Linked DNA regions of Diceros bicornis minor. The protein of the gene in region 1 interacts with the protein of each later gene in a pairwise test. Links are inferred from orthologs where the notes say so. Each region holds a gene or a part of one and is shown in the gene's direction. Other genes may lie near its edges. The genes, in order: RAP1GDS1, PLEKHB1 and NRAS.

What was found.
Region 2: the proteins of RAP1GDS1 (region 1) and PLEKHB1 interact in binary tests that used the Homo sapiens proteins (3 or more experiments, as listed by UniProt). The two-hybrid records come from large-scale screens. The link is inferred for Diceros bicornis minor from reciprocal best matches to the Homo sapiens genes RAP1GDS1 and PLEKHB1.
Region 3: the proteins of RAP1GDS1 (region 1) and NRAS interact in binary tests that used the Homo sapiens proteins (3 or more experiments, as listed by UniProt). The link is inferred for Diceros bicornis minor from reciprocal best matches to the Homo sapiens genes RAP1GDS1 and NRAS.

Annotation. Positions count from the first base shown.
Region 1 is NC_080747.1:81,218,537-81,226,071, forward strand, and holds the start of RAP1GDS1 (rap1 GTPase-GDP dissociation stimulator 1), read left to right. Parts: upstream 1-4,511; 5' UTR 4,512-4,565; coding exon 4,566-4,569; intron 4,570-7,535. UniProt on the Homo sapiens protein: Acts as a GEF (guanine nucleotide exchange factor) for the Rho family of small GTP-binding proteins (G proteins) that stimulates the dissociation of GDP to enable subsequent binding of GTP.
Region 2 is NC_080746.1:57,229,288-57,236,459, reverse strand, and holds the start of PLEKHB1 (pleckstrin homology domain-containing family B member 1), read left to right. Parts: upstream 1-4,137; 5' UTR 4,138-4,171; coding exon 4,172-4,189; intron 4,190-5,335; exon of another isoform or gene 5,336-5,411; intron 5,412-6,640; coding exon 6,641-6,716; intron 6,717-7,172.
Region 3 is NC_080743.1:47,359,893-47,367,453, reverse strand, and holds the start of NRAS (GTPase NRas), read left to right. Parts: upstream 1-4,540; 5' UTR 4,541-4,645; intron 4,646-5,150; 5' UTR 5,151-5,167; coding exon 5,168-5,278; intron 5,279-7,356; coding exon 7,357-7,535; intron 7,536-7,561. Other genes in the region: CSDE1 (cold shock domain-containing protein E1), read left to right, coding at 1-61, 1,421-1,584, 2,585-2,717, 3,107-3,154. UniProt on the Homo sapiens protein: Ras proteins bind GDP/GTP and possess intrinsic GTPase activity.

The DNA of each region.
Region 1 (7,535 bases):
AGGACTCATAGACTTAGGAGACTTTTTTAGGGAGAGACTTTAAAAATAGACTGGGCCTACTCTTGTTTTGCCTGATAGGTACTTATACCTATGTCTTGTAGCACCTACCACAGTGCTGAGCTCAGAAGAGATGCTTGAGAAGTACTCAACTGATTTCGAAATGTTTTGTACCATCTAAAAAATGTTGTTTGCAATATGTAGACATTAATCCGTTTGAGGTGACAGACAATGAAAAAAGAAAACTTAGATTTCATAAGATTTAGAAAATGGTTAATATGGTAAGTAAATGGGGGAGATGGATGGTGTTACAGCAAGCTAGAGGTTAAGACATTTTGGTTGTTCAACCTAGACTAGCCTAACCTCACTGAGACCTTTTAAAATAAAGACTTTAGAGAACACTGTCCACTGCCAAATCATTTTTTATTGCTGCAAAGTTCAGTTAACTACCCCATTGAGATTCCCTTAAATGATATTCAGAACACCATGGTGAAGAAGAGGCAATCAGTTCCCTATTATTCTTTTAAAGAACATTCTCTCTGTTCTCTTTCTACTTCCTCTTGCTCTGCCCCTCCCAATATATTTCCTTTAAAGAATTTAAATCACCTTCTAACCTCTTTAAAGTTACACGCATCAATGAGGTAAGTTATGTTATAAACCTTGCCAAAAATGTAGTGTTTCTCATTCTTTCTAATAAACATTTTCCTTGATACTTGCCCCCCTATCCCTACCATAGCTATTTGGCTAATCATAAACCAATTTTCAACAGTAACTTGTTATTCAAATAAATCTGTGATACTTTACAAATATATTTTCTAGATAGAATTTGAAAACATGTGCACTGGGCCAGAATTTCCTCCTTTATTTTGTAGCAGGCCTAATCAGGTCCTGACCATTGCCTAACACGGAGCACAGGCACTAGATTTATTTCTGGAAAACTCTTTTGACATCAGGTGAATATTTTCTAGTCTATTTATGTGATCAATGACTAGAAGCATCATCAAAGCAATTTTTCTAATACTTTTTTTTTTTTTTTGAGGAAGTTTGGCTCCAAGCTAACATCTATTGCCAATATTCCTCTTCTTTTTTCTCCCCAAAGCCCCAGTACATTAATTGTATATCCTAGTTGTAGGTCCTTCTGGTTCCTCTATGTGGGACACTGTCTCAGCATGGCTTGATAAGCAGTGAGCAGGTCCATGCCCAGGATCTGAATTGGGGAATCCCGGGTTGCTGAAGCGGAACGTGGGAACCCAACCTCTACACCACTGGGCAACCCCCCCAAAGTTTTTTGAGGGCAGGGGCCATAGTTTGTTCTTTATCCCTAGTGCCTATCATAGTGCCTGATACACAGTAGGCGCTCAGTAAGTCTGCCTTGACTGACTGAGTGAATAAACTAGTACCAAGTCTAGTGTCCACCCAGTAGGGGACTCATAGTTTAAGATAGAAACAACACAGATAGCAGCTGTCATCGTCATCATTATAAATATTTATTGAGCAACTAATTTTACTTGAGGTGCTAGAGTTTATAAAAAGAATATTAACAACATTCTTGCTCTCTTTCAGGATAAAAACTCTGCAAGGATGAAAAGACTTTCATTGACACAAATTTTTATTGAGCACTTGCTACATGCTAGCACTGTTCTGGTCCTGGGGATATAACAGCAAATAAGGCAGACAAAATCCCTGCCCTTGGGGAGTTTAAATTTAAATGGGGGTGACATCCAATAAGCAAAATATATATTATCTTAGTGATAAGTGCTAAGGAAACAAAGTAGGGAACTGGGGATGGGGAGTGGGAGTGTCGAAATGTTAGATAAAATGGCTAGGGAAGGCCTCATGCAGGTAACTTTTAAATAAAAGATGAAGAAAGAAAAAAGAGTAAAGATGTAAGGAAATGTTATATTCCTATAATAGGAGAAAGGGGAGGGGAGGGGAACTAGTGTTGTGCATGAAAGGGGTAGGTGTTACATGGGTCCACTTCTGCATGTAGCAGCTGGTACTGGGTCTCACTACCGTTGCACACCAGTGCATGGGGACTCACTGTACGCTGCACTCCTGAACAGTCCTGTGGTTTTAATTGGCAGGAAGGTTGAGAGGATGGTTTATGGATTCAATCAGAGCAAAAAAGGCACTTAAACTAGTGTCATGTGGAAAGTCACAAAGCTGCTTCAGCTGCTTTTGCCGGTTTCAATTCACACACCCAAATGAAGGATAGAAGATGCTCTTAGAAGTTACTGTAATATATAATTAGAAAAGTTACTGTAATATATAATTAGAAAAGGAAGTAGCAGGAAAAGTGAAGCAAGTGAACTTGAGAATCTGAGATTAATGAAGGTTAAGGAAAGAGAAAAAGGGACAAAACACGAGGAGCAGCAATAGAAAGGCCCCAGGGTGGTCTTCTGGAGAGGTCAAAAATGAACGTGGAACATGTTAGGGGTGTGCGTGTGGGTGTGTGTGTGTAGCTTGCGTTGGTATACTACAGATTGAAGCATGTCCCCTGCAAATTCATATGTTGAAGTCTAAACCCCAGTATCTCAGAATGTGACCTTATTTGGAGTAGGGTTACTGCAGATGTAATTAGTTAATGAGGTCATACCAGAGTATGTGGGGCCCTAATCTTACTGGTGTCCTTATAAAAAAGGAAAATTTGAACAGACGTGAGGTTGGAGTTACGCTGCCACAAGCCAAGGACCTACCAGAAGCTAGGGGAGGCCTGGAAGGGATCCTTCCTTCGTGCCTACAGAGGGAGCACGGCCCTGCCAACACTTTGATTCCAGACTTCTGGCCTCTAGAACTGTGAGACCAGCCGTTTCTGTTGTTCTAAACCACCCAGTTTGTGGTACTTTGTTACAGCAGCTCCAGGAAAGTAATTCCGCTGTGACAGGTTTTGAGGCAAGGAAGAGCATCCTTATATCACAGAAGGAAGGAGAGTAGTAGAAGAGCGAGGTGACTGTCTTGCGCATCATAAAAGTCTAATAGCTTTTACTTCTGTAGTTTGTCTTTTGTTTCACCAAATCTTTTTTTAATTATTTTGTTTCATTTGTTTTAGAAAAGTCGCATAAAATCTGCTCTCTGCTTAACAAACAAGGCCCATTCTGACTTGTGTGCTTCTAGCATCAGTCATACAAAAGGAAACTAATCTGACTATAAGAAGGGGCCACGGACGAAGGGAGGGATAAAAGCGCCTTTTCTTAACCTTGGTTTGAAAGTAAAAGTTGAAAGGGAAAGAAACCTGATTCAGCTCTTCTACACCCCTCGCCACCCCCACAGGCTGCGCTGCTGACTGCGGCCCTGGCCCCCGCAGGACTGCGGTCGCTGCGGGAGAGCGACCTGAGTCCTCACCCCAACGACCGAGGTCCCGAGGTCAGGGCAAGGCCAGGACGCTAAGAGACGGCAGGCTGCCCCCAGCCCCTCCCCCGGGCAGAGGACCGGTAACACCAACCCCACGCGCGCATGCCCGGTCGGGACGGCGCCCTGGACGGGGAGCGCCCTGCCCCGGTTTCCCCGCGCGGGGCAGGGCCGGACTTGTATTTCCTGCCGCGTTAAAGGGAGCGGGCGGGGTGGCACCTCCCGGCAGGGTGGAGGCGGAGGCCGAGGGCACCCTTGCGCAGAGGCTTGTCCGGCGTCCTCAGGGAACGGAAGGCCGCGCCCCTCTGGGCGGGGAACGAGACACTCCCCGAGGAGACCCTGGGGCAGTCGCTCTTCCCGGCTGCCGGACCTCTGTTTCTAAACTGGCCACTGCCAGGACAGCCTGAACTGTGCACCGACCCGCCAGCTGACATGACGCGCCCTCCCAGCGGCCACCTCGCTGCTCAGTGCCCGGCGGGCCACGGGCTGCTCTGAGAACCGGCGTCCCTGGGCATCCATCTCCACGAGGCGCTGGCCTCTGGCCTCCGTCGTTCCCGCTTCGTGTCAGGACGGCCACTCTGCTTCCCCACCTCCCCGGGCTGAGGCGGTGCGCGGCTCCTCTGGGAGATTCCCGCCTGTGCAGCGGGTTGTCCCATAATGAACACGGCCCCTTTTCCGGGTATGGGTTGGCGGGGTCGGGGTAGCACGCCTGGGGCGAGCCGGATGGGAGCAGTCCGGGCTCAGGATCCCCGGCTCGTGCCTCCTCAGGGCCCACCTTCAGGCCCTCAGGCGGTCGCCATCAACCTCCTCCGCGGCGGCTGCACGCCCACTCGCACGCTCAGATTCGCCGGTCACGGGGAGCGAGGCACTGAGCATGCTCGGTGGGGTGGGCGGGGCGTTCGGGGCGCGCGTCGGGCGGGCGCTCCTCAGGCCGCCTCGGCACCTCCGCCGCCCGCCGGCTCCGAGCCGCGCCCGCCGCAGGCCGCGCCCGCCTGCCCGCCCCGCCCCGCCCCGCCCCCCGCCGCTCGTCCCCGCCGCGGCCGCGCCGCCTGCAGCAGCAGCAGCAGCAGCAGCAGCAGCAGCTGCTCCTCCCCGGCAGCCGCCCCCCGCGGGTCCTTCCCTGGCTGCGAGAGAGACGGAGGTGGAGGGAGGACGCAGCGCCGCGCCGCCCGCGCCGGAGACCTTCGCCTCGCCCCGGCTCCTCACCGTCTGGGAGGAACATGGGTAAGTCATCCTTCCTCCCCCGTCATCGCCTGACATTTTTCTCTCTCTCGGTGTGTTGCAGGGTGGGAGGCATTCCTCGCGCAAAGTTGCCGGATTTCTCAAATCCTCGGGTGCGAGACGCGGCCCTTCCTCGGGGAGAGTGGGCGCACGCGGGGCGCACGCCCGGTCGCGGGCGCGGGGTGCGGTCGGGCCGCGGGCTCCGCGCCGCCTCCTCCCCTCCTCCATTCTTCCTGCAAGCCGGTGCCGGCCCCGCCAGCCGGCCTCGCGGGCTCCCGCCGCCCCGCCGCGCCGCTCCGGGGGCCGCCCGCGGGCAGACCGCTTCACGGAACTGCCCACCTCCACCTTTGCGCGTCGTGGGGATGCGCGTCCCGAGGCGGGCACGTGTGAGCGAGTAGTTTGTGAGGCGGTGTTACAACCTGCACAGAAGTAATTTTCGGTGGGGGAGAGCGGACAGCCTCATAGGTTGAAAGGATGACTTGTCAGAGGCCACGAGGAGCGTGAGGAAGGATGCGTGAGCCGCTGGCCGTTGAGTTAGCGTCGGGTGGCCGGGGCGTGCGGTATTCCCGTGCTCAGCCGGTTTCCTGGGTTCCTTCGCCTGTGCTGTAGCAGGAGGCTGCACCCTCTGCCATGGTACCGCACTTACGTGTTAGTACTCTTTCCCAGCTCCCGCTGCCCAAATCTACATAATCTGATTTTAGTTCCTTTGTATTTATAGTTAATCTCAAGAGATTGGTTTGGATGAGACATTTAAAAGCAAATAGGTCCTATAAAACTACACGTAATTAATCCTAAATTTTTTCATAATATATTGCTTCACTGTTAAGTTTAGTAAGTACAAAAATATCTGATGAATTCTGTAATGTAATTAAAATCCAAAAGTTTTTTTTAAATAATAGCATTTGAACCACACTTCTACATGTTCCCCAGTTTGTTTCCCCCCTTGTCCATCATAAATTCCTCTTTTTAGAATGTGTTCCGTTAGCGTCTGTCAACTCGGACTTTTCCCACCCCTTCTGTGCAAGTTATTTTAAGCTTGAGATGAGTGTGGTCCTTTCATCTGTCAATACAGTGTTCAACACGTCCAGGATTAGGTCATGGCAACTCAGAATCTTCAAGGAAGCATCTAAATCAAGAAATAGGGTCGATGGAGCTTACTTGAAAAGCAGATGCTTCAAGCTCTGATTCAAACCTTTAGCCATGTATTGAGAAGAGGCCAGTGTTGCAGGAGGAGGTGGTGTGTATACAAAATGAATCCCGGGCCTTGAATTCTATTTTCAGTTGTTCATTTTTTTTCCTTTTGATGTACTATTGGTATGCTGAACAAATTTCTGTAAAAATTGGGTGGCCCATTTACATGTATCTAGTTTTTCTCTAGGAGTAGAATTTTGGATAAATATTAATTATTGGACACATTGTATCTTTCCCTTGAACAACCAAAAATTTTCTTCCTAATTATAGGCCACAGGTTTGGCCTGTAAAATACATTTCCAATGTTTCAAGGTGAGCTAAAAAAATCTATTTAACTAAAATTTTAACTTACATGTTGAATCAGTACCTTTTCAGTAGGAAAAAATCCAATTCTGTGTGATACTAGTGAATAAAAATACTTAAAACAAATGAAATTATTTACTTAAAACTAATAAATCTTGAATGTTATTGCTTGATTTCAAAAAAAGGCCAAATAGAAACTGATCTCTCATTTGAAGCTTCTCAGATACTCGGATTAAATTAATCTCTCTCCCCTCACAGGGCTCTGTTTGTACCTTGTTGGAAGCTTTTTAGCACTTACATAATCTGTCTTATAATGGAGTTGTTTATGTGTGTGTTGTGTGTTTAATCATGAGTTCCAGAGGATGAAAATTATGTCATATTAATTTTTGTGTTCCCCACAGTGCTTTCCACATAGTAGGGATTCAGTAAATCTTTGGTAAATTAATTGTTGAACCTAAAACCTGTTATTTTCAGCTTGTGAACCTGAACGTTGGGCTCTGAACAAACATTTGAGTTGATAGTTATAATGGAGGTGTGGAGGAGCAGGAACAGAGAAGTATAATTATATTATGATTGCTCTTCTCTCTAAAAAAAAAAACTTGGGTTGTCTCAGAGATATGGGTTTTGGGGCAGCCTCCAGGCGAGCCATTTCCTTCTACACTGCTGTTTTCAGTGGTAAGGCGGTTTAGTGTATGATCAGTAGGTACATACAATAATGTAAAATTGAAGCAATGTTCTGAGCCGAGGAAGTTATAACAATTCATATATACATAAAGGGTATACTGATTAATGGTAGGAGAAAAAAATCACTTTTTAATGTCTTTTCAAGAAATAAATAAGGTGATTTTTTAAAAAGATATTCTCATGGCAGTGATGTTTCTCCATAAGAAAATGAAGGATGGGCCCGCCCCGTGGCTTAGCGGTTAAGTGCGCACGCTCCAATACTGGCAGGCCCGGGTTTGGATCCCGGGTGCGCACGGATGCACCGCTTCTCCGGCCATGCTGAGGCCGCATCCCACACACAGCAACTAGAAGGATGTGCAACTATGACATACAACTATCTACTGGGGCTTTGGGGGGAAAAAAAAAGGAGGAGGAGTGGCAATAGATGTTAGCTCAGAGCCGGTCTTCCTCAGAAAAAGAGGAGGATTAGCATGGATGTTAGCTCAGGGCTGATCTTCCTCACAAAAAAAAAAAAGAAAGTGAAGGAAACTTCCTGTATAATCTTATGGACCATGGCTATTATGTTATGTATATATTTTACCATAAGTTCAGCATATATTTAATATTGAATATCAACCATGTGCAATATACTGTGGGAGGACAAAGATGAATAAGACATTCATATTTCAAGTTGCTTATAATCTTAATAGGAACAATATGACACACACAGATAACTATAATAGAAATAAAGTATAAGTGATATGAAAGACTTTTACATATATTATAGATTCAGAGGATGGAGAGAAGGTTTT
Region 2 (7,172 bases), on another chromosome or scaffold:
CAAAACCCTGAAACACTGCAGTGACCTTACATCATTTCATTTATTATTTATTTTATTTTATTTTTTTTGTTTTTTGCTTTTTTGTGAGGAATATCAGCCCTGAGCTAACATCCATGCTAATCCTCCTCTTTTTGCTGAGGAAGACCGGCTCTGAGCTAACATCTATTGCCACTCCTCCTTTTTTTTCCCCAAAGCCCCAGTAGATAGTTGTACATCATAATTGCACATCCTTCTAGTTGCTGTATGTGGGACGCAGCCTCAGCATGGCCGGACAAGTGGTGTGTCGGTGCGATCCCGGGATGCGAACCCGGGCCACCAATAGCGCAGCACGTGCACTTAACCGCTAAGCCATGGGGCCGGCCCATCATTTCATTTATTTTTTCTTCAAAACTGTTATTGTTATTTCTTGTTGTTGTTAAGGAAGATTCGCCCTGAGCTAACATCTGTGCCAATCTTTCTCTATTTTGTATGTGGGTTGCAGCCACAGCATGGCTGACAAGTGGTGTAGGTCTGCGTCCAGGATCCTAACCTGTGAACCCAGACCACTGAAGCAGAGTGGGACAAACTTAACTACTCTGCCACAGGGCCAGCCCCCCAAATTATTATTACTTTTTTGTGAGGAGGACCAGCCCTGAGCTAACATCCATGCCAATCCTCCTCTTTTTGCCAAGGAAGACTGGCCCTGGGCTAACATTCTGAGCCCATCTTCCTCTACTTTATATGGGACGCCGCCATAGCATGGCTTGACAAGCGATGCTTCGGTGTGCGCCCGGGATCCGAACTGGCAAACCCCGGGCCTCCGCAGCAGAGCGCTCGCACTTAACCGCTTGCGCCACTGGGCCAGCCCCCAAAATTATTTTTTAATTATCTATTTTTTCTATTTTAAAAAACTTTTTACAACTCAACAATTAAAAAATCAAAAACCCAACTAAAAAGTGGACAAAAGATTAGAATAAACATTTCTCCAAAGAAGATCTACAAATGGCTAATAAGCACGTGAAAAGATGCTCAACATCATTGGTCATTAGGGAAATGCAAATCAAAACCACAATGTGGGCTGGCCCCGTGGCTTAGCAGTTAAGTGCGCACGCTCCGCTACTGGCAGCCAGGGGTTCAGATCCCAGGCGTGCACCGACGCACCGCTTCTCCTGCCATGCTGAGGCCGTGTCCCACATACAGCAACTAGAAGCACGTGCAACTATGACATACAACTATCTACTGGGACTTTGGGGGAAAAAAAAAAGGAGGAAGATTGGCAATAGATGTTAGCTCAGAGCCGGTCTTCCTCAGCAAAAAAGAGGAGGATTAGCATGGATGTTAGCTCAGGGCTGATCTTCCTCACACACACACACACACACACATAAAACCCACAATGAGTTGGGGCCGGCACAGTGGCACAGTGGTTAAGTGCTCATGCTCTGCTTCAGCGGCCTGAAGTTTGAAGGTTCGGATCCCAGGCGCGCACTGATGCACCGCTTGTCAAACCATGCTGTGGTGGCATCCCATATAAAGCAGAGGAAGATCAGCACAGATGTTAGCCCAGGGCCAGTCTTCCTCAGCAAAAAAAAGAGGATTGGGATCAGATGTTAGCTCAGGTCTGGTCTTCCTCACACACACAAAAAAACCACAATGAGATAACACTTCTCACCTACTAGGATGGCTATAATCAAAAAACAGACAATAACAAGGGCTGGCGAGGATGTGGAAAAACTGGCACTCTTATAGGTTGCTGGTGGGATTGTAAAATGGTGCAGCCACTTTGGAAAGTAGTTTGACAGTTCCTCAAAATGTTAAACATCGGGTTACCGTATGACTCAACAATATCACACTCAAGACAAATGAAAACATATGTCCCCACAAAAACATGTAAACAAATGTTTTAAGCAGCATTATTATAATAGCTGAAAAGTGGAAACCACTCAAATGTCCATCAGCTGATGAATGGGTAAATAAGAAATTCCACACAATGGAATATTATTTGTCAATAAAAAATAAAGTTCTGATACATGCTACAACATGGGTGAGCCTTGAAAACGTTAAGTGGAAGAAGCCAGTTACAAAAGGCCACATACTACATGATTCCACTTACATGAAATGTCCAGAATAGGCAAATCTATACAGATGAAGTAGATTTGTGGTTGCCAGGGGCTGAGGGGAAAGGGGATTAAGAGTGACTGCTAAAAAGTATAGAGTTTATTTTAGGGGTGATGAAAATGTTCTGAAATTAAATAGTAATGATGGTTGTACAACTTGTAAATATATTAGAACACTGAACTGTACACGTTAAAAGAGAGAACTTTAGGGCCGGCCCGTGGCTTAGCGGTTAAGTGCGTGTGCTCCGCTACTGGCAGCCCAGGTTTGGATCCCGGGCACGCATCAACGCACTGCTTGTCTGGCCATGCTGAGGCCGCGTCCCACATACAGCAACTAGAAGAATGTGCAACTATGACATACAACTTTCTACTGGGGCTTTGGGGAGAAAAAGGAAAAAAAAAAATAAAGAGGAGGATTGGCAATAGATATTAGCTCAGAGCCGGTCTTCCTCAGCAAAAAGAGGAGGATTGGCATGGATGTTAGCTCAGGGCTGATCTTCCTCACACACACACAAAAAAGTGAATTTTATAGTATATAAATTATATCTCACTAAAATTACTTAAAAATTTTTACTTGATTTTACTTCGGCTCAAATTGCATCTTGACATAAATTTCTGGATTTTTTAGTAATTAGAGATAGTACAAATTATTCTCACTATATTATACTCTTTAGAAAATATAAGTAGTGAATTTTAATTTGATAAACCAGTCCACTATTCTCTAAACAATGTATTATCCGAGAGCTGTTCATCCACCAGGGACATTTGAAATAGCAACATACTTTTCTCTCTGCCAATGATTTTTGTTGATCTCAGTAAATTTTAATTGATTAAACAAACAAAGTCTCTCAAGGCCAGGACTGCAGGAGCTGGATTCCTGCTATGCTCTCAGCACCTCTCACTTGTTAATCCATACTCTATCCACTGGTCTACACAGCACTGGAGATTAAAAACACAGCTCTCAATGGTAATCATTATGGCTTCAGGGGTCTATGAACTCCCAGGAATTATATGCAAAACGTGACATGTGTGTGATCTTTTTCCTGGGCAGAGTCTACTTCCTTCAGCAGCTTCCCAAAGAGGGTCATCGAGAAACATTTTAGAGACATAAACCAGGTCGGGCTGCCTTTAGATTCTATAGTTGCATCCGTGGTTTCCCAGCATCCTTTTCTCTTTTTCTTGTCATAGGGCCCTCTCTTTGGTGGGGGAGGAGGGTGGATTTTCCCCCTAAATTCCACACTGCCACTGGAGAATCTTCCTTTTTCATCTGGTTGCTAAATCCAGAGAATGTAATCTAGGAGTCTGCACTGCTTCCCCACCCCACCCCTCTATGAAGGACGCCAAACAGTTGTTCACGGAGGGGAGCAGGGGAGAGCTAGGGAGAGGGCAGGATCCAGATTCCCTGAAGCCAGCTCCACTCACCCCTCCCTCCCTCCTCCTTTCTGCTGTGGGGGCGGAAAATTTAGCCTGGAGAAGGTAGGGGTGGGACGTTCCAGAGACAGACGATATAGAGTTGGAGACAGCTTAGTTTTGGAGAGCTGCTTCCTGGGGCTGCACGGAGGGGATGAGCTCAGTGGCTAATAGGATCGGCCGTGGCGAATCCCCTAGCAAGGCACGCACTGCACGAAAGGTTGAAGCGCCGGGGTGGCTCAGAGGTCAGGATTACAGAAACCCAGGAGCGAGAGAGGGAAGCTTAAAGAGCCAGGCTGCGCAGCCCGGACTGGGGTGATGGCACTGTCCCGCCCGGCGGGAGAAAGCAGATTTAGCCCCGCCCTCGACCGAGGGAGGAGGACTGGCCAGTCCGCGGCCCTGGCATCTTAGCAGTGCTAGGCCAAAACCACCTCCGAATCACGGATGACTTGTTGTTATCCAGTGAACTGAAGGTCCGAGGCAGACATCAGTCGGGGAGGTTGGGGAGTGACTGGAGAGAGAGGATGACTTTTTTAAAGTTCTATGTGCCCCCCACTTCCGGTTCCCACTTGGTAGGACCTTCCTGATCCCCTTATCTCTAAGGCGCTCAGGGAAATGCCCCCCTTCAGGAACCTTCTAGGAAATGCTGCCTTGGCCGCCCAAGAACCATGAGCCCTGCAACTCCGGTAAGCAAGAGGTGTTTGGGACAGGAGGAAGGGCCCAGGGCAGGGTGGGTGCCCCTCTCAAATAGGGGATGGGACCAGGAGTCTTTCAGGCCCTGACAGGCCCTGTTATCTGAATGACAGTCCTGGGTCTGCTGTAGGTGGGGGTTTGTGGGGCTGAGCTATTCAAGGAAATGATCCTGGAGGGGCAGACCAAGGTGGTAGATACAGAAACGGTCTTCTTTCTCCAGTTGGGCACTCTGCGATCCATTTTCCATTATGCCCTAGAGGGACCTTTCCAATTCACAAATCTGACCACCTAACTCCTCATCTTGAACCCTCCCCTCCCCGCAAGCTCCAGTCACTAGGACATAATGTCCAAGCTCTTGAGCCTGTCATCCAAGGCCTTCATATTATATCCTTGCAACCCCTGCAGCTTCATCAAGTGACACATCCCTTGCCCTCCCCACCTGCACTCTACTTGCCAAACACACTGAAATACAGCACACTCATTTGAACTTCCTAACCAGTGCTCTTATAAGTCTCTTAGGTTTCCCGTGAGAAACTCCTACTCATCCTTCAAGACCCCTTTAAGTCTCCTCTGGAGACCTTCCTGAACCTCTTGGGCAAAGTTAGATTCTTCTCTCCTGTTGTTGAATCATACTTTGTGCTCTAATTGTGTTTACGTTTCGTCTCCCCCACCAGACTGGAAGCTGGGGAAGGAAGGAGAAAGGGCCTTGTCAGATGCTTCTTTGTGCCCTCCACTAGCGCCCAGTGCAGTGCCAGGCACAAACTGAGTACTGTATTGAGAAAACATGGCAAAACTAGGAGCCTGGCTTCTCCTTGCAACCATACTTTTTTCTAGAAAATGGGTTCAAGATTCTTAGGAAAAAGTATTTCAAGATAAATGAGTGAACAAATGTCAGAGCAAAATGAAATCGCAGGTGCAGCCTCCCACCTGTCCTCCTGGTCAGCACAGGGCTACCACCCAAGAAAGGCTACCCATTGCCCAGTTCTAGGGCTGCAGACTACAAGTCCCAGCATGCCTCGTGCCAGCACATCGCTCCACGCCCCGCCCCCTCCCTGGGGGTGGGGCGGGGCCGGAGGGCGGGGCCCAGGGCGCAGCCTGGGGAGTGAAATGTCCCAGGCGCTCTGGGGCGCACAAAGCGCAGGCGCAGTGGGTTGGGTGGCAGCAGCATCAAGTAGCCGGCGTTTTGGCAGCAGCATCCGCAACAGGTGTAGACAGGTGGGTGCATCAAGGGGGGCGCTGGAGAGGGACCTGGTCCTCTTATCTGACCTGTGTCAGGGCTTGCAGAGGGGAGGGAGCGGCAGGAGAAGCAGGGACAAGGATGGGCCTTCCAGCCCTGGAGTGCCAGCCCTTGCTACGCAGCAAAAGGTGTGAGCAGGTGGGGGAGGGGCAGAGGCACCTACGCGCAAGAAAATCGTCCTCAGGAACAGAGGGCATCTAGATTCCAATCCAAGCTGCATCACCTAGTTGGACAAGTCATTTGCTGTGCCTCAATTTGTCCATCTGTAAAATAGGAGTAAAGATCCTACCCATCTAACTGGATGACAGTGGGGGCAAGGTGAGATAGTATAGTATGTCAGTGGTTCCTAAACTTTGCTGCACATTGGAATCACCTGGAGATCTTTAAAGACTTTCGGTGCTTGCCTCCCGCCCCCCGACATTCTGATTTAATTGTTATGGGGTATGACCTGGGTATCGGGAGTTTTGAAGGCTCCTTCTGGCATAATGGTTAGAAGCCAGGACTGCTGGGTGTGAATCCGGGCCCCACCACTGACTAATCAAGCGGATCTGCGCAAGTGACAGGACCTCTCCAGGCCCCAGTTTCCCCGGAAAAATAACAAGGATTGTTGTGAGGCTTCCGTGAGATACTAGATGAAAGCTCTGAGAGGTGTACCTGGCACATAGTGCGTAATCAGTTATAGCTGCTGTTGAACTATTATTTTATGCACTTCGTAAATGGCTCAGGTGGAGTTGAAATGTGAGGGAGCTTTTTCTTATCATGAAAGTCCCTCATTCACTGCCATGATTCTAATATTCTGTGCTGCCAGCATTTCAAAGTTCCAGGGTTTCTAACATTTTAAGAGTGCCTCACTCCAGCCTCTGCCTGCCTCACAGACACACTTTTACAGATCTAGAAATGGAGGCCAGGGAGAAGGGACTTGGCTAAGGTTATGGAGCTGAGATTGGAATCCAGGCTCCTCACCTCCCCGCCCCCACTCGAGCACAATGGGTGGCTGCCCTGCTGGCCCCGCCAGGACAGTGCTCCCATTATCTGCCTGCAGCAGAGAATGGGGAGGAGACAGGCAGGCTTGCCCTTGTTTGTCTACCAACACTCCCTTAAACGTTTCCGTGGTGGCTCCCCCAAGGAGGCTGGGGCTTGTCTTCTCTCTGGGGAGCTGCTCTGGAGCTGCTGATGAGGCCTGTGTGTCCTGTGGCTCCTCTGACAGGTCCCGCCTGACTCCGCCCTGGAAAGTCCTTTTGAAGAAATGGCCCTGGTGAGGGGCGGCTGGCTGTGGAGACAGAGTGAGTGGCCCTGGGCCAAGCCCTTGTCTGTCCTGCACCTTGTCCAGGGGCAGGGGTGAGGGAAGGGGCTTGTTGGGCCTGCCACAGTGAACCCTCTCCCCAAAACCAGGCCCTTTTTATCTTCCCCTCCTTTGTCCATGCTCTTCCCTCTGCCTGAAATATCCTTCCCATTCCTGACTGCTTGGTAAACTTCTACTTATTCTTCGAGAACTAGCGCAGATGTCCCCTTTTGTGAGGAGCCTTCTCGGACTTTTCCTCTAACCCCACCCCAGACCCTGCTGTAGCACCAAGCTGGGTTAGAGGCTCCTTTCTCTGTTCCCCACTGCCTCATACAAACCCCTGTTATAGCACAGATCCCCCCCTAATATAACTGTCTTTACCTCTCCCCCACCCCATACCAGCCCTAGCCTGTGAGCTCCTCAAGCGCAGGGACTGGGTTTGATCCTCTTTGTGTCC
Region 3 (7,561 bases), on another chromosome or scaffold:
GACTATGGCCTACAACATCACCCCCCTGCGTAGGGCCACAGTGGAGTGTGTGAAAGATCAGGTAAGTGGTGGTATCTCTGGGTCTGAGTTTGATCCTTTTATGAATTGGTAACCAAAACCTTGAAATTTTTTCAGCCAAGGGGAACCATCAGCATTCATTTGGGGGGGGGGGGTGGTGAGAGAGAGAGCAAGAGAGGAAGATTAGCCCTGAGCTAACATCTGTTGCCAATCCTCCTCTTTTTGCTCAGGAAGATTGGCCCTGGGCTAACATCCGTGCCCATCTTCCTCTACTTTATATGTGAGACACCTGCCACAGCATGGCTTGATAAGCAGTACATAGGTCCATGCCCGAGATCCATACCTGTGAACCCCAGGCTGGCCCCAACATTCATTTGATTTTTACTTCTACTTTACCCCTTTTTCAGTGATTTGAGGTAGCTTATAAAAATATGAAGAAAACCACATGAAAAGAAAAAAATGGTGATACTAGCAAGAAGAAAATAAGAGGGGTATTAATAACATTGTGTGATGAGGAAAATAAATTTGGAGTGAAAGTTGCAGAATAGAAAAACTATAAAGTTTTGTACACTTTAGCTCAGAGCTTGCAGATCACAGAAGGAAAGAAACCATGTGTAGAAGTGTTCATAAAATAAGCTTAGGCAAACAAAACTATTCCTGGTACTGAGATCTCAAGGAAATCCCTGTGAGTGCTCAAAGAGGACGTTTTTCAGTATCAGTATGGTGAAGATAACATTTTGTATGGCTGTTTCTTATGATGCCATAACCCAGCTTAATAATTCTAGAAGGAATCAAAACACTACATATGTTGTTCAAGTAACAGCTCCCTAATAATTTTGCTTGATTCAAAAACTTAGGAGCCAGCTCTGTGGCATAGTGGTTAAGTTCAACGTGCTTTGCTTCAGTGGCCCGGGTTCAGATCCCAGGCGCAGACCTACACCACTTGTCAGCCATGCTGTGGCCGCAACACACATATAAAGTAGAAGACGACTGGCACAGGTGTTAGTTCAGGGCCGGTCTTCCTCAAGCAAAAAAAAAGAGGAAGATTGGCAACAGATGTTAGCTCAGGGTGAAATGTTAGCTCAGGGTGAATCTTCCTCAGAGAAAAAAACATATGGTTCATATGATATATGAAGCCACAAGGCAACCTTTCTTTGTTTCAGTCAGGCAATAATAGAGTGAATGGCAGTAATTTCAAAGATATGTTTCTTTCCTGACAAGTTTTGCAGACCCATACGCTATTAAATTATAGCACAGACAGCTGAACTAGAGTATCAGCATTAATACGATGTTTTATAAATCTCGTTAGGGTCAGGCATGGTGCTTCATTCAGAGTGAGGTGCTTTTCCCCATTGTGGTATGCCCTTTTTTTAGCTACTGTCTTTTTTCCCTCTCCCCCCAGTTTGGCTTCATTAACTACGAAGTAGGAGATAGCAAGAAGCTCTTTTTCCATGTGAAAGAAGTTCAGGATGGCATTGAGCTACAGGCAGGAGATGAGGTGGAATTCTCAGTGATTCTTAATCAGCGCACTGGCAAATGCAGTGCTTGTAATGTTTGGCGAGTCTGGTAAGTTTTTGTCGTTGTTGGATTAGTAACCTCCCTGGACAGTCTCTTTAACTTCTGTAATTTCTGCTTTATCACATTTCGTCACTTTTTCATCACTGCTGCTTTCATCCTCTTCTGCCACTTTTTGGTTATTTCTTGATACTTCTTATGTCTTTTTTAGCTCTAGTCTTTTTTTTTTTGTGAGGAAGATCAGCCCTGAGCTAATATCCATTGCCAATCCTCCTCTTTTTTTTTTTTTTTTTTTTTTTTCTTTGCTGAGGAAGACTGACCCTGGGCTAACATCCATGCCCATCTTCCTCTACTTTATATGGGACGCCGTCACAGCATGGCTTGACAAGCGATGCATCGGTGTGCATCCGGCATCCGAACCTGCGAACCCTGAGCAGCCAAAGCAGAGCGCATGCACTTAACTGCTTGCGCCACTGGGCCGGCCCCTTTAGCTCTAGTCTTTATTGTCTAAACTTTTTAGTCTCATAAAATCTGGCCCAATGAAACATTGAGTACTTACTATATCGTAGGTCTTTTTATATAAAAGATTATGTAGTCCTTGTTCCTAAAGGATTCTGCTTAGCTCTTTTGCTTTCATTAAGCCATCTCTAGGTTATATGCTGCTAAAAATTCTGATTTTATAGTTTAGCAGTTTGACTCTGTGCTTGCGCTTTTTTTTAAGTCAATAACATTGTTACCATTAGAGGAACCAGGATATTTAACTTTTTCAAGGTTATTCACATGTGCTGCCTTGTGTCTTTGAAACTGGTCTTTTGTTGTTGCAGACCATTCTAGGGATGACCCTCACCCAACTGATTCTTCTAGCTCCTACACAGTAGTAAACCTTGACTTGGGAATAAAAACATAAACTTGTCTGTCCTGTCTTGCTAGCTTGCTGGCTAGATGAGGCAAGAGTCCCCCCTCATTAAAACTGAGTCATTTGAATAGTTAGGTAGAAAACACACTCCTCTCTAAGTACTTGCTTTCTTCTCACCTCTTGACTTTGTTACAGTGAGGGCCCCAAGACTGTTGCAGCTCCACGACCTGATAGGTTGGTCAATCGCTTGAAGAACATCACCTTGGATGATGCCAGTGCTCCTCGCCTAATGGTTCTTCGTCAGCCAAGGGGACCAGATAACTCAATGGTATGAGGTCATGCAAGGTTGTGGGTGGGGTAGCAACTGACAGACCAACATACTACTTGATGTCCTATTTCGGCATAGCTCAGAGGGCTTAATGAAGCAAGGAGCTTCAGTATTGCTTCTAGCTAGTTAGGACTCCCTCCATATTGATTGAGCCCGTAACATAAATGGTTGCTCACAATAAAAGGCACATTTCTTGGCTTTCCTGATACTTTGAACATATAGTTCAGGTAAAAGATCAGGAGGGCTTATTATAGATTTCCTCCTCGGGGAAAAAATTGGTGGTGATTACGATGATTAAAAGCAATGCTTTTGTAGTTCATTTTGAAATTGTGAATGTACTGTGATTGTCATGTACCCAGGTTATTAACTGCAATTTTATTTCTTCACAGGGATTTGGTGCAGAAAGAAAGATCCGTCAAGCTGGTGTCATTGACTAACCACATCCACAAAGCACATCATTAATCCACTATGATCAAGTTGGGGGGATTCTGGTGAAGGGTTCTGAATATCTCCCTCTTCATCCCTCCTAAAATCTGGAATACTTATTCTATTGAGCTATTACACCAGTTTTAACACCTTCCTCGTGTTATGTTTAAAAAAATAAATAAATTTAAGAAAACCATTTTAAAATTATGCACAGTTGCAGCCTGGAAAACTTAAGGTGGCGCCTTATATATCAATTTTAGGAGCTTTATTTGGTGCATTTAACGCAACTGGTAATTGCAAAATCCACTTTGCCTGTGTAAGTGAAAAATATAGACTGTTATCTTGTTGGCCCTGTGAAATTCTGCACTTCATATTTAGTATATACTCTACCTTCATTACTTCTGGCAAGATGTTCTGCCTTAGCACTCAGTTGCGTTCTTTTCCTTTCCTGTTCATTATGCTTTAATTCTGAGGACCATATGAGGGTAGAATATATTAAAAATTACAAAAATTTGTGTAGGCAAACCATTTCCTTAAGTTGATGGCCAAATGTTAAAATGTTATTTTTCATATCATTTATAATCTTGTCACAGTCCACTTAACGAAGTTTGGTTAGATTTCAGTGAAAATTATCTTCCAGAGTAGTTTTTTTTCCTAGGATGGGGGGGTAACTTGACTACAATTAGTATGTATGGTGCAGAATTTCATGCAAATAAGGTGTGCCAGCAGTGTGATAATTTAAACGTATTTAAACAAAAACAAAAAGACGAATGCACAAACTTGCTGCTGCTTAGATCACTGCAGCTTCTAGGACCCAGTTTCTTTTACTGATTTAAAAACAAAAAAATAAAATAAAAAAGTTGTGCCTGAAATGAATCTTGTTTTTTTTGTAAGTAGCCGCCTGGTTCCTGTGTCCTGTAAAATACAGACACTTGACCTTTGGTGTAGCTTCTGTTCAACTTTATATCACGGGAATGGATTGATTTCTTGGCCCTCATGTTGAATTGGCCACATACAGGGTCCCTGGCCAGTGGACTGAAGGCTTTGTCTAAGATGAAAAGGGTCAGCTCAGGGGATGTGGGGGAGGGCGCTTTTATCTTCCCCGTTGTCGTTTGAGGTTTTGATCTTCTCTGGGAAAGAGGCCATTTATCTTTGTAAACACGAAACATTTTTGCTTTCTCCAGTTTTCTGTTAATGGCGAAAGAATGGAAGCGAATAAAGTTTTACTGATTTTTGAGACACTAGCACCTAGCGCTTTCATTATTGCAACGTCCTGTGTGGGAGGGGAGGGTCTGGGTGCGGCCTGCCGCATGACTCCCGGGTTGGAAGCCCACGTGGCCGGGGCGGGGCCTCGGGCGTCCTGCGCGCCGACTGATTACGTAGCGGGCGGGGCCGGAAGTGCCGCTCCCTGGTGGGGGCTGTTCATGGCGGTTCCGGGGTCTCCAACATTTTTCCCGGCTGTGGTCCTAAATCCGTACGAAGCGGAGGCAGCGGAGCTTGAGGTAGGTCTCTGGCGTGTGTAGCATTCGGCTTTGGAGCATACAGGCGTCTCGTTATTGCCAGAAATCGAGCGGAATCTGCGAGCTGCAAACAAAGGCCCTGGGCGGGGGTCCTTCGTTTTGAGCCCTACGGGGAAGATGTTTAGAGATGGGCCGGGGAGTAGTAAGGGGGAGCGACCTGGAGGCCTCCTCCTAGAGCTGGGAAGACTTGCGGGAGGAATAGAAGGGGGGGTTTCCTTTACCTGAGGCTGAGGGCGGGGCCCAAGGACTGTTGAAACATAGACGAGGGTGGGGGTAGCTAGAAGACTATAATCCAGAATTCTGAGGCCCACAGTAACCTGCAAGTGCTTTTTGGCATTCCTGAATCATTTTGAGAACCAAGTGGCGGTGACGTGTATGGAACCGATACATTTCAAATTCTGGTTTTAGTTACTATTGATTATAGGGAAAGCTTTGAAGTACTGTAGATGTGGCTCGCCAGTTAACCCTAATTGATGCTTTCCGACAGGTTCTTGCTGGTGTGAAATGACTGAGTACAAACTGGTGGTGGTTGGAGCAGGTGGTGTTGGAAAAAGCGCACTGACAATCCAGCTAATCCAGAACCACTTTGTTGATGAATATGATCCCACCATAGAGGTGAGGCCCAGTGGTAGCCTGCTGACTCCACCTCTGCGGTTTTACCCTTACCCATACCCTTTTGCTGTTCTTTACCTAAAGGAGTAATCAGGAGAGAAAGTAAAAAGTGATTTTGGGTACTGCGTTGAGTAATACAATAAGTAAAGCTGGAATGTTTGTGGAGAAGAGTTCATTTTTATTAGCTGCTGAAGATTTTCTAAAAAGTTTACAATTTTTAACACTTATGTAAACTATTGCAAATTTAGTGTTGAACTCAGTTTCTTCATATATGACAACTCTGTTAAAAAGAAACACAGTCCATAGGTAGAGGGACTGTCTGAATAATAGCAGGATGGAAATAAAGGGTTCAGAGATCTGGGTATTCTGCAATTTTCATTTCTTAGCTAGTTGAAGCAGCTGAGAGTGTGGGTTGGTGTAGAAAGAGCGTGAGATTTTGAACCGCTTTGCCTAGGATTTCAGTCCCTGTTTGCAGTTTATTTAGTTATGTGATGTTGAGCAAATTACTTAATCTCTCTGAGCCTCATTTTCCTGATCTATTAAATTACCATAAATTTGTTCTGCCTACCACACACGGATATTGTGAAAAATCAAATAATATCTTTAAATTTTTTGTGAATGGTGAAGTGCTGCATAAATAGTATTTATTTAAAGATTATTTTGTTTTCATGGGAGTTTGTTATAGATTAGCTTCAATAAATGGCATCTAGTGTCCTTTAAATAAAAGGTTTTAAAAGGTTTTGTAATTTTATTCAGTTTAGAAATGTCTAACTCTAAAGATTATTTTCTTTTAATCTACACCCTGCTCTTCCTACCACCCAGCTACTGAGTGTTTAATTAATGCAAGCTAACTCTAATATAGCCATTATTAAAAAATTACTCATTAGTCCTGGGCAAAAATCTTTATTTTAGGCTTAACAGCTTTAGTGTTAATAGTTAGAAACTTTTAATATTTTTTGGAGTTTTATTTATTGAGAGGTAATTTACATACAGTAAAATACTTCGGTGATTTATTAAATTTATATACACTTAACGTAACCACCACTCAGATAAAAGTATAGACTATTTTTAATGCCCCAGAGAGTTCTCCCATGCCCCTTTCCAGTCAATAAACTCCCCCACCCTGTCAGGAAATAACCACTTCTCTGCCTTCTATTATCATAAATTCATTTGACTAAAACCTATCTTTATAATTTTAATTTTGCTCATTTCCTCGGAGCACTCATACACTTAACCATATTTCATGCCTCAAGGAAGTTCTGGCAATGTGAATTCTATGTTAATTTGAAAGTATGTTGCAAGTGAGTTACAGAGGAACTGATCAATAGGCTGGGAAATTAGGTTGAGTTTTGTTTCTAGAGCCAGATCTTGACTAAGTGTGATGAGGTTATTTTCTTTGAATTCCCAGAACATAAGTATTAAAATACAAGTAAAATTTTTGTCTTAGAGCCAGATTGAAAAAAATTTTTTATATGATCTATGCATGTCTGTCTTCCTGAGGAATTTAGTTATACCTATACCTTGTTTGGAACCTTTAGGAATTTGATTGAGGAATATTTCCCAAAGGTACAGTCTGTCATGATGAGAAAAATATTTTGGTATTATAACCTTGTCTGAAATAAAAAGTATTTGTGTATTTAGTCATAAACACAAATGACACTGTATCCAAAGCCAGATTATAATTAGTGGAGGTATGTTTAGAATTTTAAATGTACCATAAACAACTAAAACAGGACAAGTCCAGTTCATACCTTAGTAAAGTACAATGTGAACCTAATCTCTAGTCTAATTGCAGTAGAGCTGTCTTTTGAAGTACCACATATTTTTCACCTTTTCCAGGAACAGAGTGACCACATTTTCCTTTCTGCAGGCGTATAGGATTTGGGGCTTTTTTCCTAGGGTGACATTAAGTACTTTCTGTTTGTGATTATATATTCACAGTTTGAGGGACAAATCAGAGAGACAGAAATGGACTTGGTTAGGAGCTTATTTAATCTTGGCAATAGCATTGCATTCCCTGTGGTTTTTAATAAAAATGGAATCTCCCTCTCTCCCCACCACCTCACCGTCCACATCCTCAGGATTCTTACCGAAAACAGGTGGTTATAGATGGTGAAACCTGTCTGTTGGACATACTGGATACAGCTGGACAAGAGGAGTACAGTGCCATGAGAGACCAATACATGAGGACAGGCGAAGGCTTCCTCTGTGTATTTGCCATCAATAATAGCAAGTCATTTGCAGACATTAACCTCTACAGGTACTAGGAGCATTATTTTTTCTGAA